Arabidopsis thaliana: one gene and its partner. The protein of the gene in region 1 interacts with the protein of each later gene in a pairwise test. Each region holds a gene or a part of one and is shown on either strand. Other genes may lie near its edges.

The links.
Region 2: the proteins of AT5G58575 (region 1) and HAP8 interact in a two-hybrid assay, tested with the Arabidopsis thaliana proteins (one large-scale study listed by BioGRID).

What each region holds. Positions count from the first base shown.
Region 1 is NC_003076.8:23,671,979-23,676,187, forward strand, and holds AT5G58575 (SAGA-associated factor-like protein), read left to right. Parts: upstream 1-1,554; 5' UTR 1,555-1,578; intron 1,579-1,684; 5' UTR 1,685-2,120; intron 2,121-2,383; 5' UTR 2,384-2,420; coding exon 2,421-2,459; intron 2,460-2,625; coding exon 2,626-2,937; intron 2,938-3,051; coding exon 3,052-3,246; 3' UTR 3,247-3,665; downstream 3,666-4,209. Other genes in the region: FOLK (Phosphatidate cytidylyltransferase family protein), read left to right, coding at 78-193, 300-592; AT5G58570 (uncharacterized protein), read right to left, coding at 892-1,152. UniProt on the Arabidopsis thaliana protein: Component of a deubiquitination module (DUB module) that specifically deubiquinates monoubiquinated histone H2B (H2Bub). Does not seem to be a component of the TREX-2 complex. Seems to act independently of the SAGA multiprotein complex.
Region 2 is NC_003076.8:22,767,913-22,774,766, forward strand, and holds HAP8 (hapless 8), read right to left. Parts: upstream 5,110-6,854; 5' UTR 4,890-5,109; exon of another isoform or gene 4,690-4,889; intron 4,075-4,689; 5' UTR 3,958-4,074; coding exon 3,830-3,957; intron 3,394-3,829; coding exon 2,421-3,393; intron 2,341-2,420; coding exon 1,006-2,340; 3' UTR 541-1,005; downstream 1-540.

The sequences.
Region 1 (4,209 bases):
ATGATCAAAATTCGGTTTGTCTGTTTATTATTGCTTTTGTCACTTCACAAAGTGTCTGTAGTCGCTCTCTGCATCAGGGAACTACTTAAGGGGCCGCTTTACTATGTACTGTCAATCACATCAGCCTGCATCTACTATTGGAAATCATCCCCAATCGCGATTGCGGTGATATGCAACCTTTGCGCAGGAGATGGTAAGTACAGTTAGCTCTGGTTTGATCCAATAACATTAGCAACTTTTGTCTTAGGAATTTGAATCCATTGAATGATGATTCTAATACACACACTTGCTGTTAAAAGGTATGGCTGACATTGTGGGTCGGCGGTTTGGAACAGAGAAGCTTCCTTACAACAAAAACAAATCATTTGCTGGTAGCATTGGAATGGCCACCGCCGGGTTTCTAGCATCTGTTGCGTATATGTACTACTTTGCTTCATTTGGTTACATCGAGGATAGCGGGGGAATGATTCTTCGTTTCCTCGTCATCTCTATAGCATCAGCTCTTGTGGAATCACTCCCAATAAGCACCGACATTGACGACAATCTCACCATTTCCTTAACCTCTGCCTTGGCCGGATTCTTACTCTTCTAATAATACCCTCTCGTTGTTATGTATCATCAAATAAAGGGTCGAGCTTGATTGCTGATATGGAGGTAAAACTGCATTCATTGTTCCCATCTTCTTCTGTATGTACGTATTAGTGAAACATCTCATATTGTTGTTGTCCACAAATCTTATTTTTCAGCTGCAATTGCAGTTGGGTACAATGTTGTAATGTTCTATCCATTAGTGAGACATATGATGACGAACAGTGACGCTTCTACAATTTGTAACAGATACTCTTTTGTAACAGATATTCAATACATGTTTGTTTGTTATTTGGCCTATGGCTATGTGGAAATGGATTGTTTGCTTACAACAGGTGAGGGCTTGAGTGTCCCGCTCCAGGAAGCCTCTTCTGACAGGTCGGACTGGTGACTGTAACGGCGTTTCAGACAAGGAAGCAACACGAGGAACAAGAGGAAGACGGCGAAGCTGATGACAAGAACTACCGTCAAGATCTCACCATGCATGGCGTAGTGTCTGTCTCTAGTGAAAGTAAGTCGTTCGCCATCTTCAGGACTCGAGGCCTCCACCGTAGAAGTTACCATTAGAGAGGTAATCTCAAATATTCTCAAATCTCAACTCCTTTGCTCATACCTACTTCATACTGTCATGCATCATCTTGGAGGGATTTGTGTCTGTTTCTTTTTCCTCTCTGAAATATAAATTTGACTTGGGAGAATATGTATCAAATGAAAACAATATGTCACCACAGAAGAAAAGAAGAGTTTAAATATATTTCTTTGGGATAATTTAGTAGATGGATTTTTGTATAAAGGTTGGTGTAGAAAGTGAGACTGGGACGTTCGTTAGTGATTGCTCTCTACATATGGGGCGTTGGATTGGGTCTTTTTGGATCTTACGTGCGACGTCGTTTTCGTAATTTGAAGAAAATCCTTTTCGTGTGGCTCCCATAACCGACTCCGTGACTTTCCCGGAAATTTCCTCAAGAGAGAAGCGACCTTGTGTCTCATGTTAGTTGCTTCTTCTTCTGCCCTTATTTATATGAATACAAAAATTAATTACTCTTTGATTTGGCCCATTTAAAATTGCTAACTTCTTCACGCATTCTCGAAATAGAAGAAAACGTGGTATGCTTGTATTAATTGAATGGTTCTGAAAGAGACATTTTCAGAAGAAACAAAAAAGCAATTGTGCCAAACTAGAAGAAGAAGCTATAATCGAGGTGTGCTCTACTGAGATTTTGCATGGGTGCTGCAAAAAAAAAAAAGAGATTTGAATGGGCCATGAGATGGGCTTTTAATAAAAAAATCATAACAGAAATTAGATGACGTGGAGTGTCGTTTTCTTTCTATTCGAGGTGACGGTGAGAAGGAAAACCGTGTCGTTTATATGATTAAGTAAAGAAACGCTTGCCGTTTAATATTTTAGCTTGGCCTGGGTGCCGTGGCAAGTCATGATTGGTGGTTTCTTCGCCGATGTAAAATTCAACAGATCGAGAGAGAAAAAACTCTCTCTCCCTCCTCCGTTCACCGTCGCGACTCGGCTCTACAGTGTAAGCTTTCTGATTCTACGGCGATTTCGTTTCTGTATCTATGCTTGTAGACTGGGTTTGTTTTATTGGATGATTTGATTTGGAACCTGAAACAGTAAAGTTGTGAGGAATGAGTAGTAGAGTTTCCTATCACAGAAACTCCAAAACGAATCTGTTAGATAGTGATGATCGACTTTTTTGATTTCTGGAGAAATTCGCTTTTTCTAGGGCTCCTGATGGTGATGGAAATCTCTCTTTACGATTTGGTTTTGATTTTCTCGCAGACATTTTGTTGAGCAATCTCGTATTTAGAGGATTCCAATGTCTGGCGCAGAGGATAATAAATCTTCCCATGCTCAGGTATTTGTTCATTTAGTCTCATCTCATGATGAATTCAATTACTGTTTATATGCTCCACATTCTCGTTCTATGTAAAACTATTAAGATTTCTCCTCCTTGTTAAAGTAACTGCCTAGTGGAAACTAAGTTAGACTTACGTTTCTTTGCTCTTGAACTTTGCTTGCAGCTTTCGTCCCAAATTTTTCTTGATCTTGTGGATTCGGTGATAGCTGATGTAGCATCTGAGTGTCATCGGGTAGCACGACTAGGACTTGATCGTGATTTGGATATAGTAGAAGAAGAGTTGAGATTGTCAGTGGAAGCGCGTGCGAAGATCGCTGATCCTAGCAACAACCTCGAAACCAACACCAAATATGTTGTTGATATATTTGGGCAGACTCACCCTCCTGTAGCTAGTGAAGTGTTCAATTGCATGAACTGTGGGCGACAAATTGTTGCAGGAAGGTTTGCTCCTCATCTCGAAAAATGCATGGGAAAGGTGATCTTATTGCTTGCATGCCTCCTTATCTCTGTCAGATAGTATTCCAGAATGTGTTGTTTCATTGAACCTCTAGTCCTTACTTTTTTTTTTTTTTTGGAAACCACCTAACAGGGAAGAAAGGCTCGTGCCAAGACAACCAGAAGCACAACGGCTGCACAGAACCGGAATGCACGACGCAGCCCCAATCCACGATATTCTCCTTATCCAAATTCTGCTAGTGAGAACCAGTTAGCAAGTGGATCACCTGGTGTTGCAGGTGAAGACTGCTCAAATTTCACAGTTCGAGAGAACGTGAAAGGAGACTGAAGTACAACTGATGAGAGGCTTATACTGATTACTGAACGACAATGTGGCTAGTAACTGACTCGACCAGACTGGTATAAATCGAATTGCTAGGTTTATATTCAGTTCACAAAAAAAGAGAGAAAAGCGGCGCAAAAGGAAAAGTAGCGGAGGTTCATAATGTAGCTATTTCTACAGCTTACTAATGGGGTATCAATATATTAGTACATGCACCATCATGTTATAATTACAAAAAACTCTGTAGAGTCCTCAATCAAACAGTTCCCACTGTTGTGTTATGATTGTTAAAGTGTTTGGAGCAAAAGAAAAGCACAAAATTCCGGACCTGGCAAAGGCAAATCCTGCTTGGTTGCGTTGTGGTTCATGTCGCGGTTGACTGTTTGTTTTCTGACAAGAAACAGTAAAAACAGACAAGTCTTTGGAGCAAAAGAAAAACACATTCGCTGGGGAATTTATATAAACAAATCGAAGCATTATTATTGTACATCAACCATAGGGCCTAACATGGGCCTAAGCTTGTGCTGTTGGTTCTTCACTATATCAAACTTGTCATCATCACATACAAATCTCATTTTCATGGGCCTTAAGGTGGGCTTTTATAAAAAACAATTTAGCACAAATTAGAGAACGTGGAGTTGTATTCGCGGTCACGGTAAAACGAAACGGACATAATAAAAAAAGTGTTTGTGATTGTTCCAGAAGAAATGAAACAAAAGATACGGTATAAAACTAATAGAGGAAACGCTTGCCGTTTAACGTTTTAGCTGCTGCAGTGCCGTGGCAAGTCATGATTGGTTGATAAAATTATAGAGTGATTGGGTTCGGGGCACTGCAGCAGCTATGATTCAGAAGTCCGCCGACTCGCCACGGCACGAACCCAATCAACCTCATCACTCATTCTACCGATTTTGGCCTCTTTTGTGAATAGTTTAGCTTTTGTCCTTAGGGAAGAAATGCGATGAGTGA
Region 2 (6,854 bases), 900 kb from region 1:
AACAGCATTTGAATTTGGATCTATAACATCATCGGAGTAACATTCTTCTAACTAATTGAATTACCAATGCATGAATCATTAATAGTATAGTTTGCAAATATTTGCTTATAAAACTTTTTATGGACCGGCGACAAATAATAATATACATACATATCTATGTATATAATCGTAAGTGTGTCTATATATTATACAGAAATGTGTATCAACTAACATGTAAAACAAAAGAAGACATGGAGTGAGAGAAGCATATGATAATAAGCAAATGATTTTGAAAATGCGCATGCAACATAGCCGTTGTGCTTGTACTCATCTCTACGCAAATATATTTCATTATTTTCACTAAAATATTCTCCCTATTTTTATTTAAATTTTCTTGTAACAATAATAAAACAGCTCATCTACACCAAATGCAACTATTTCTTTTTTTGTTGTTTTGTATAAAATCCTTGTCCATCTAATTTTGACATTGTTTACGCTCAATATCAATGTGTATAATAAAGTCTATATGTTTGCAATCTAAAATAAGGAATGAGTGAGGAAAAAAAAGATAATGAATTGCGTATACATAATAATGTATGTCATGACGGTGACTATGATCTTGACTACATCATATGATTTCAACCATACAAATATTTATATCTAAATAGAGAGAATTAAGCATCATGATGTTAACTCTTATATAATTTATTTTAAATTCGCTTTCATAACATTATAATTATAAGTTTTCATCCTTAAAACTTAAAACAAAAGTGGGGGTCCTTTTACCTTAGTGGAGTTCTCATATATATCATCCTATGAGGAGAGAATTTATCTCAGTCTCACCATTGTCTTTCTAAAGCAGCCTTTTTGAGATTCTCAACCTCTTTATTATAGAGAAACATGAGATCTTGAGGTGTCTAGCTTCTCAAGATCTCAAGCTTAAGGAAAATGCCTGGACTTTGATCTGAAATGCCATGGAATATTATTTAGTATCTTGGAGAGAAGTAGAGTTCTTGGTCTGAACTTTCATGGGATGTTGTAGAAGCTTGTATTGGTGTCGAAATAACCATTTCCGCTGTAAGGAGGATGAAGAAGATTAACAGAAGGAGACGCTTGCTGTGTCTTAGAAAGATCTAGAAACTGAGAGGTTGGTTTTGGACTTGATTCGTTGTGTGAAGGCTCTTCTCTTTGGTTAATAACCATCAAATCCTTTCCCATCAGCCGCAACACCGGGTTGGGAGTTGAAGGAACCGCAGGCACAGACTTACTCAGGAAATCCAAATCTTGTTGGATCATTTGTGGTGGTGGTGGTTGACAAAATGTTGTATCTTCAAGAGCTTTCTCCTTTCTTTGGCAACAACATGATTGATCATTGTCTCTGAATCTGGAAGGTCTCTTGTCAGTGGTGATGATGTTATGAAGACTTAATGTCTGTGTTTCAGGAGCTGCAAAGTTTGAAATTGCTGAAACAGGTGATTCCGATGAATTTCTGTCAGTGAGATCAAACTGATCTTGTGAAGAGTGGACTTGGCTTGTGATAACTGAAGAGTTTCCATGATGTTCAACTGCATCAGTTCCCATCATATCCCAAGGACTTGGTAAAAATGATCCCGGAGGTCCTGGAATAGGAATGGGATCAACCTCCATGAACGAGCTTTCTTGTTCCGCGGTTTCGCAACCAGTTTTCTCATAAACCATGCTTTCAAACTCAACATCTGCATCTTTAGTTTTGTCCAACATATCATCACCTCCTTTGTTATCACCAGTCTCTTCATAGCTTTCATAATCATTGTCTTCCCCGCTAAACGAAGGATTTGAGCTTAGCGCAACCTTATCTGTTTCTCCATCATCATCATCCCAACCATCATAATCTGACAGTTCACGTTCTTGAGTCATTTCAGACTCCCATTTCCCTATATCTTCATCTTCATTCTCAGAGAAATCCATTCGAGCTTTCTTGAACTTCATGACGCCTCTCGCCACAGGTGTTAAACATCTCAAGGGATTTGCTACAAATAAATCACTTTCAATGCTTCTGTTCCTAGACAAAGCCCAGCTCTTTCCAGAAACTTGGCTCTCCCCACAAACTCTCCATGACCCTATACTGTTTAAAGGAGAAGAAACTGTCTCGGACAAATCAGTACTCACATGACTTGGACTTCTTAACACAAGAGGATCTTCTGACAATGAATTCCAATTCTCAGATTCACAAATGTCTGTCCCATTCTTCTTTCCATGCCTTGAAAGAGAACGCTTTGTTAGCATCCGCTGGTTGAATATTCTACCTTGACCAGGACCTGAAGTTTCTGACCTCTCAAAGTCTTTACCTTCTTTAGAATATCCTCTTCGATACTCCGGTATCTGTTACAAAAATGATAAAGAAACTTGTGTTACTAATCTAACAACCAAATCAAGAACGGATCATGCAAAGGCATAATTACCTCTGAAGCATTGCTTTTACGAACAGTGAGTTTTCTGTTTTGAGGAACTAGTTTACGATGCTTGTAATGTTTCTCTCCCCAAAGTTTTTTCCTAAAGCTTTTGCCCCCTTTACCTTCACTAGAAGATTTCTTCTCACAAACTTCTTCATGCTCTCTTCTTGATGGATCAGAAGCTTTCTCGTTAAACTTAGATAAAATCCGCAGTTTTTGGCCCTTAGCATCAATGTAAACAGGTCCAATGCCAGCAGCATCTTCATCAATGCGAGCACGCGACACGCTTCGCTTCTTTACTTTGTTGGACACTTCAGGCTTATCATCAGAGACAACACGGTTAGAGTAGCTCGAAATCATAGCCCACTTTGTGCCATTTCTTTTATCAAGATCTTCTAATGTGCCTTCTTTCGCAGAAGCATAGATATCAGTCATGGTTTTAACTTTCAACCGTGGCTTAGTCTTAGGCCTGTTTGGCTTACGAATCGGCTGCTGCCCCGAGTCAACAGACAGACACTGATCAATGTGCGCATTTAAAGTAGTGTTAGAAGCAGACGAGAAGGTTTTGCAGATGGGACAAGTTCTCAAAGCCATAGAATCAGAAGCTGAAAAGAGGCTACTATGATCTTCTTTTCCACCACTATCCACACAAGCTCCAGGTTTCACTATCAACCCACACTTTTTTCTAGGATTCTTGTTAACCATAGCTACTTGTATTTTGGATTTCGAACCACTCGCCAACAAACCATTCTCAAATCCTTGTTTAGTAGTCTCTACTAATATCTGATAAGAGCCAAGTTTCTCTGACTTTCTCTTGTGACTTACCGCTTCCACATGAGTTATGTTTGGCTTCTTCACTTCAGGAGGCTGAATCGGTGGCAATGGATCAGTTAAGCCATGATTTAAACAAAGTTGCAAACTTGTTGAGGAAAAAGGCCAACTTTTCTTGATGTTCTTGGTCCGGTAACTAAATGCATAATCTCTGCAAAAAACATCACAAAAACCAAATCATCAACCATTAGTAGTACAACAACCAGACAAAACATAGGTACAGGCTTTTATAAAAAAAAAAACTTCTGAGAGACATGACACAACAAAGAAAAGTTTGTTCTTTGATGATACTGAGACTCGTTCAGATCATGGACCAACGGATCAAAGAATAGTCAAAACTCAATACCATTAAGCTCCACATAATCACAGAAGGTGAAAGAAAAATAAAAATAAAAAGCATTTTGTTTTGAATCTGACCCATTTAGCAAAAATGAATGGATGAGAAGAAAAGATGTATCAGTAATCAAACCTAACAAGAAAGCTAAAGACTTTAAGCCTCCTAAAACAATGGTGAAGAACAAGAAACTGTTGACTTCTTCTCCATAAAACCCCCAACAAAATCGGAGAAGAAGAAACTTTAAGATTACCTGATGGAGAAAGTTGAAAGATGTGATTGACCTAACTCATCACAAGAGTTGGTCAGATGTAAGAAACTAGAAGAAGATGATGGATTGTTATTAGAAGGGCTTCTTTGATCAGTGGATGATAAGAACATTTGATTCTTCTTCCACTGTTACTACTATTCACTTCTTCACTTTTATCAACCTTGTCGTCCCTGCTCTTCTGCATAACACCAGATCTTTATAATACCAAATCTGAGAGCCTATGAAACCTGAAAAAGAGTTTAAAGTTTAAGTCTTTAAAACCCAGAAACTTGAGAAGATCAAGTAAAAAAATATTATTTCATGTGAAGGTTAGAAAAAAAACAGAGAATAAAATTAGGATTAGTGGGTGAGATTTTCAAGTATATGGGTTTGATTGGTGAAGCAAATCACAAATAGGAACAATCAAAAGAGTTGGTTTTTAATTCTTCAAAGTTTTTCCCCTAAAAACAAGCATCAGTTTCTAATCTGATTGGAGTGTTATTTTATGCAAGGAATCATATGAAACTCAAAGACATCACAATAAGAAACTAATAGATCAAGACACAGAAGGTAAAAGAACATACATTTGGTGAGATTTAAACCAAAGTTCATTGAGATTTATTTTTTTTTCTAAAAAAAAAATGAACACATTGAAAGAAGATAATCTAACCCTTAAGAAAAACTATAATCTCTACTTATGGATGAACCAACTGGAACATGAGATTTAACAACAAATCTGAGAAGACAATATTAGGAATCCAAGAAACAAAACCCTTTTTTATAATGTTATGAACAGAAGAAATGGATCATAAAATATCAAAAACTTACAGAGGATTAAAGATATATACTTATAATAAGCATACCTATTTTTGAAGAGTATAAGTTTGGATCTTTGAAACTTAATAAAGATTCAAAGTAAAGTAAGAACAAGAAACTGTAAATCGGTGAGACAATACAAAGAAAGAAAAAACAAAGAAGTAGGAAGACGACGAAGAGAGAAGAAGAAGAGAGTTGCTAAAATAAAAGTTTCAGATAAAAATTATATCAGTAAATAGACAGAAACCTTTAGAGGATTTGATTATTTTCAGAAATAGTTTTTCTTGGCAGAAGAAAAGATTTTTGTTAGAGGGAGAGAGAGATGAACAAGAACCACGCACTAACACATCAAAGTGGTATCAGGTTCCCTAAGTATTAAATAAACATACTGTTTACTTATAAAATAAACTTAAAGTAAAGAAATGTTTAAATGAATTTTTTTTTTTTTTTCCTCGTCGCTGTTCCTTTCGTATGTCTGTAAGTGAGCTGTGTGAATTCCTAAATAGTTGTTTTCATTTTTCAAACCATTTTTTTAATGCTGCTAACTTTATTTAAATTTTGGGCTTTGAACTGAACGAGACAAGTAGAGGCTGCTGCTAACTTTTTGTATCGTGTTTTTTAAGAAGTGGTTTCTACTTTCTATCATTGTTTATACAAAATGTAATCATGTTTCGAATTTTTAATTTATGGTAAGGTAAGAAACTTTAGTTATAAAAAATAATTAAGAATTTATGTATGTTCTTGTTAATTAGTATAAATTTTTGTATTCTTCGAAACCCAAAGATATGAATTGTGGAGGGGCTAGAAATGCTTTTTTTTTTCCTATGGATGATTCGACCATTAATGAAAAGCAAATGAAATCTTGACTTAAATGAGGGTTGACTCACTTTAGTTTTGGGATAAAGTCTTTTGAAAAGTTTATCAAATTATGGGAAGTTTCCATAAGAACGATCGAGACGGTTTGTGAACAAATGATCGTTCGGTTCTATTATATGACCTTAATTAAGATTGTTTCTTCTGTGATATGGCTATGGAATAATAGATAGATGAATCTATGACCTTAGGCGATATAAGATCTTCTCGGAGAATATTAAGGTGGAGCATATAACATGCGTGGAACAAACCAATGACCATGATATCTTTGAGATGAGATATGAAGGCATCGGCCGGAAAAATTTCCAACGTTTAAAGTCATAGAATAAATGGTCGAAGAATTTGGAATCATGGAAATGAAAGAAAGTGATTTTGATTCAGAATCAATGGTTTTTATTGTCCTTTTTAAAGGTGAAAATAAATAAGAACATGATGTCTTGACTGTTTTTGAGAGCAAGCCAAATGTTTACGAAAAAAAGGATCCAATTGTTTGAAAAAGTTGGTCATGTATATGTTAGTGCATATAGAATTATGTAGGCACTCATAACCACTTTTTCTCAAAATTACAAGTTCTATAAAGTATAAACCATGAGATATCTCATATTTTGATCTTTTTAAAACGAATGTATCAACAGCCAGAATTATCGTTAAATCATCACCTTATTAAGAGAAATTAAGAAAAATCATAGAATTAAATAAGAGAGGATAGTGCCATTTTGTGGAAACGTGAAATTATGGTTTTAGTCAAACATCATTTTCCTCGTTAAGTCATATTCCATGCCCTATGGACTTATTGGAGGTCCCATAATTCCTTCGCTACACGACACTATTCTTTTTTTTTTTTTTTGGTGAAGTAATGAATGACAAATTGATAAGTAATGGATTCAAGCAAGACACCAAAACAAGAAAAACAAATTATAGCTTCTTAATCGCAATGATAAATCTAAAGAGCAGCCGTTTTTAGCTTTTGATTAATAAGTTCCATCAAATTAGATTGAGAAACAAGTGGTCGTGGTATAATATATTCGTGTCTAATTGGAATCAATTATAGATTTGTATGGTCTAGAATTTACTTATTTTAGTCTAGAGTGTCATATCATCCAAATTATTTTACAACATCAATATGTGATCAAAGACATATTTCAACATATAATTTAACTTTTGATTGAGAAGATTCGATAGATACAAAATATGCTAGAAATAATAGACTTATTGTAGATCCTATGTATAAAAACAAAGGAGTGTTAAAGAGAAAACATGAAATGTCCACATATACGTCAAATTATCAATGGCATGAACATGGTGATGGTGTGGTCTGTCTAACTTTTTATGATGCTTT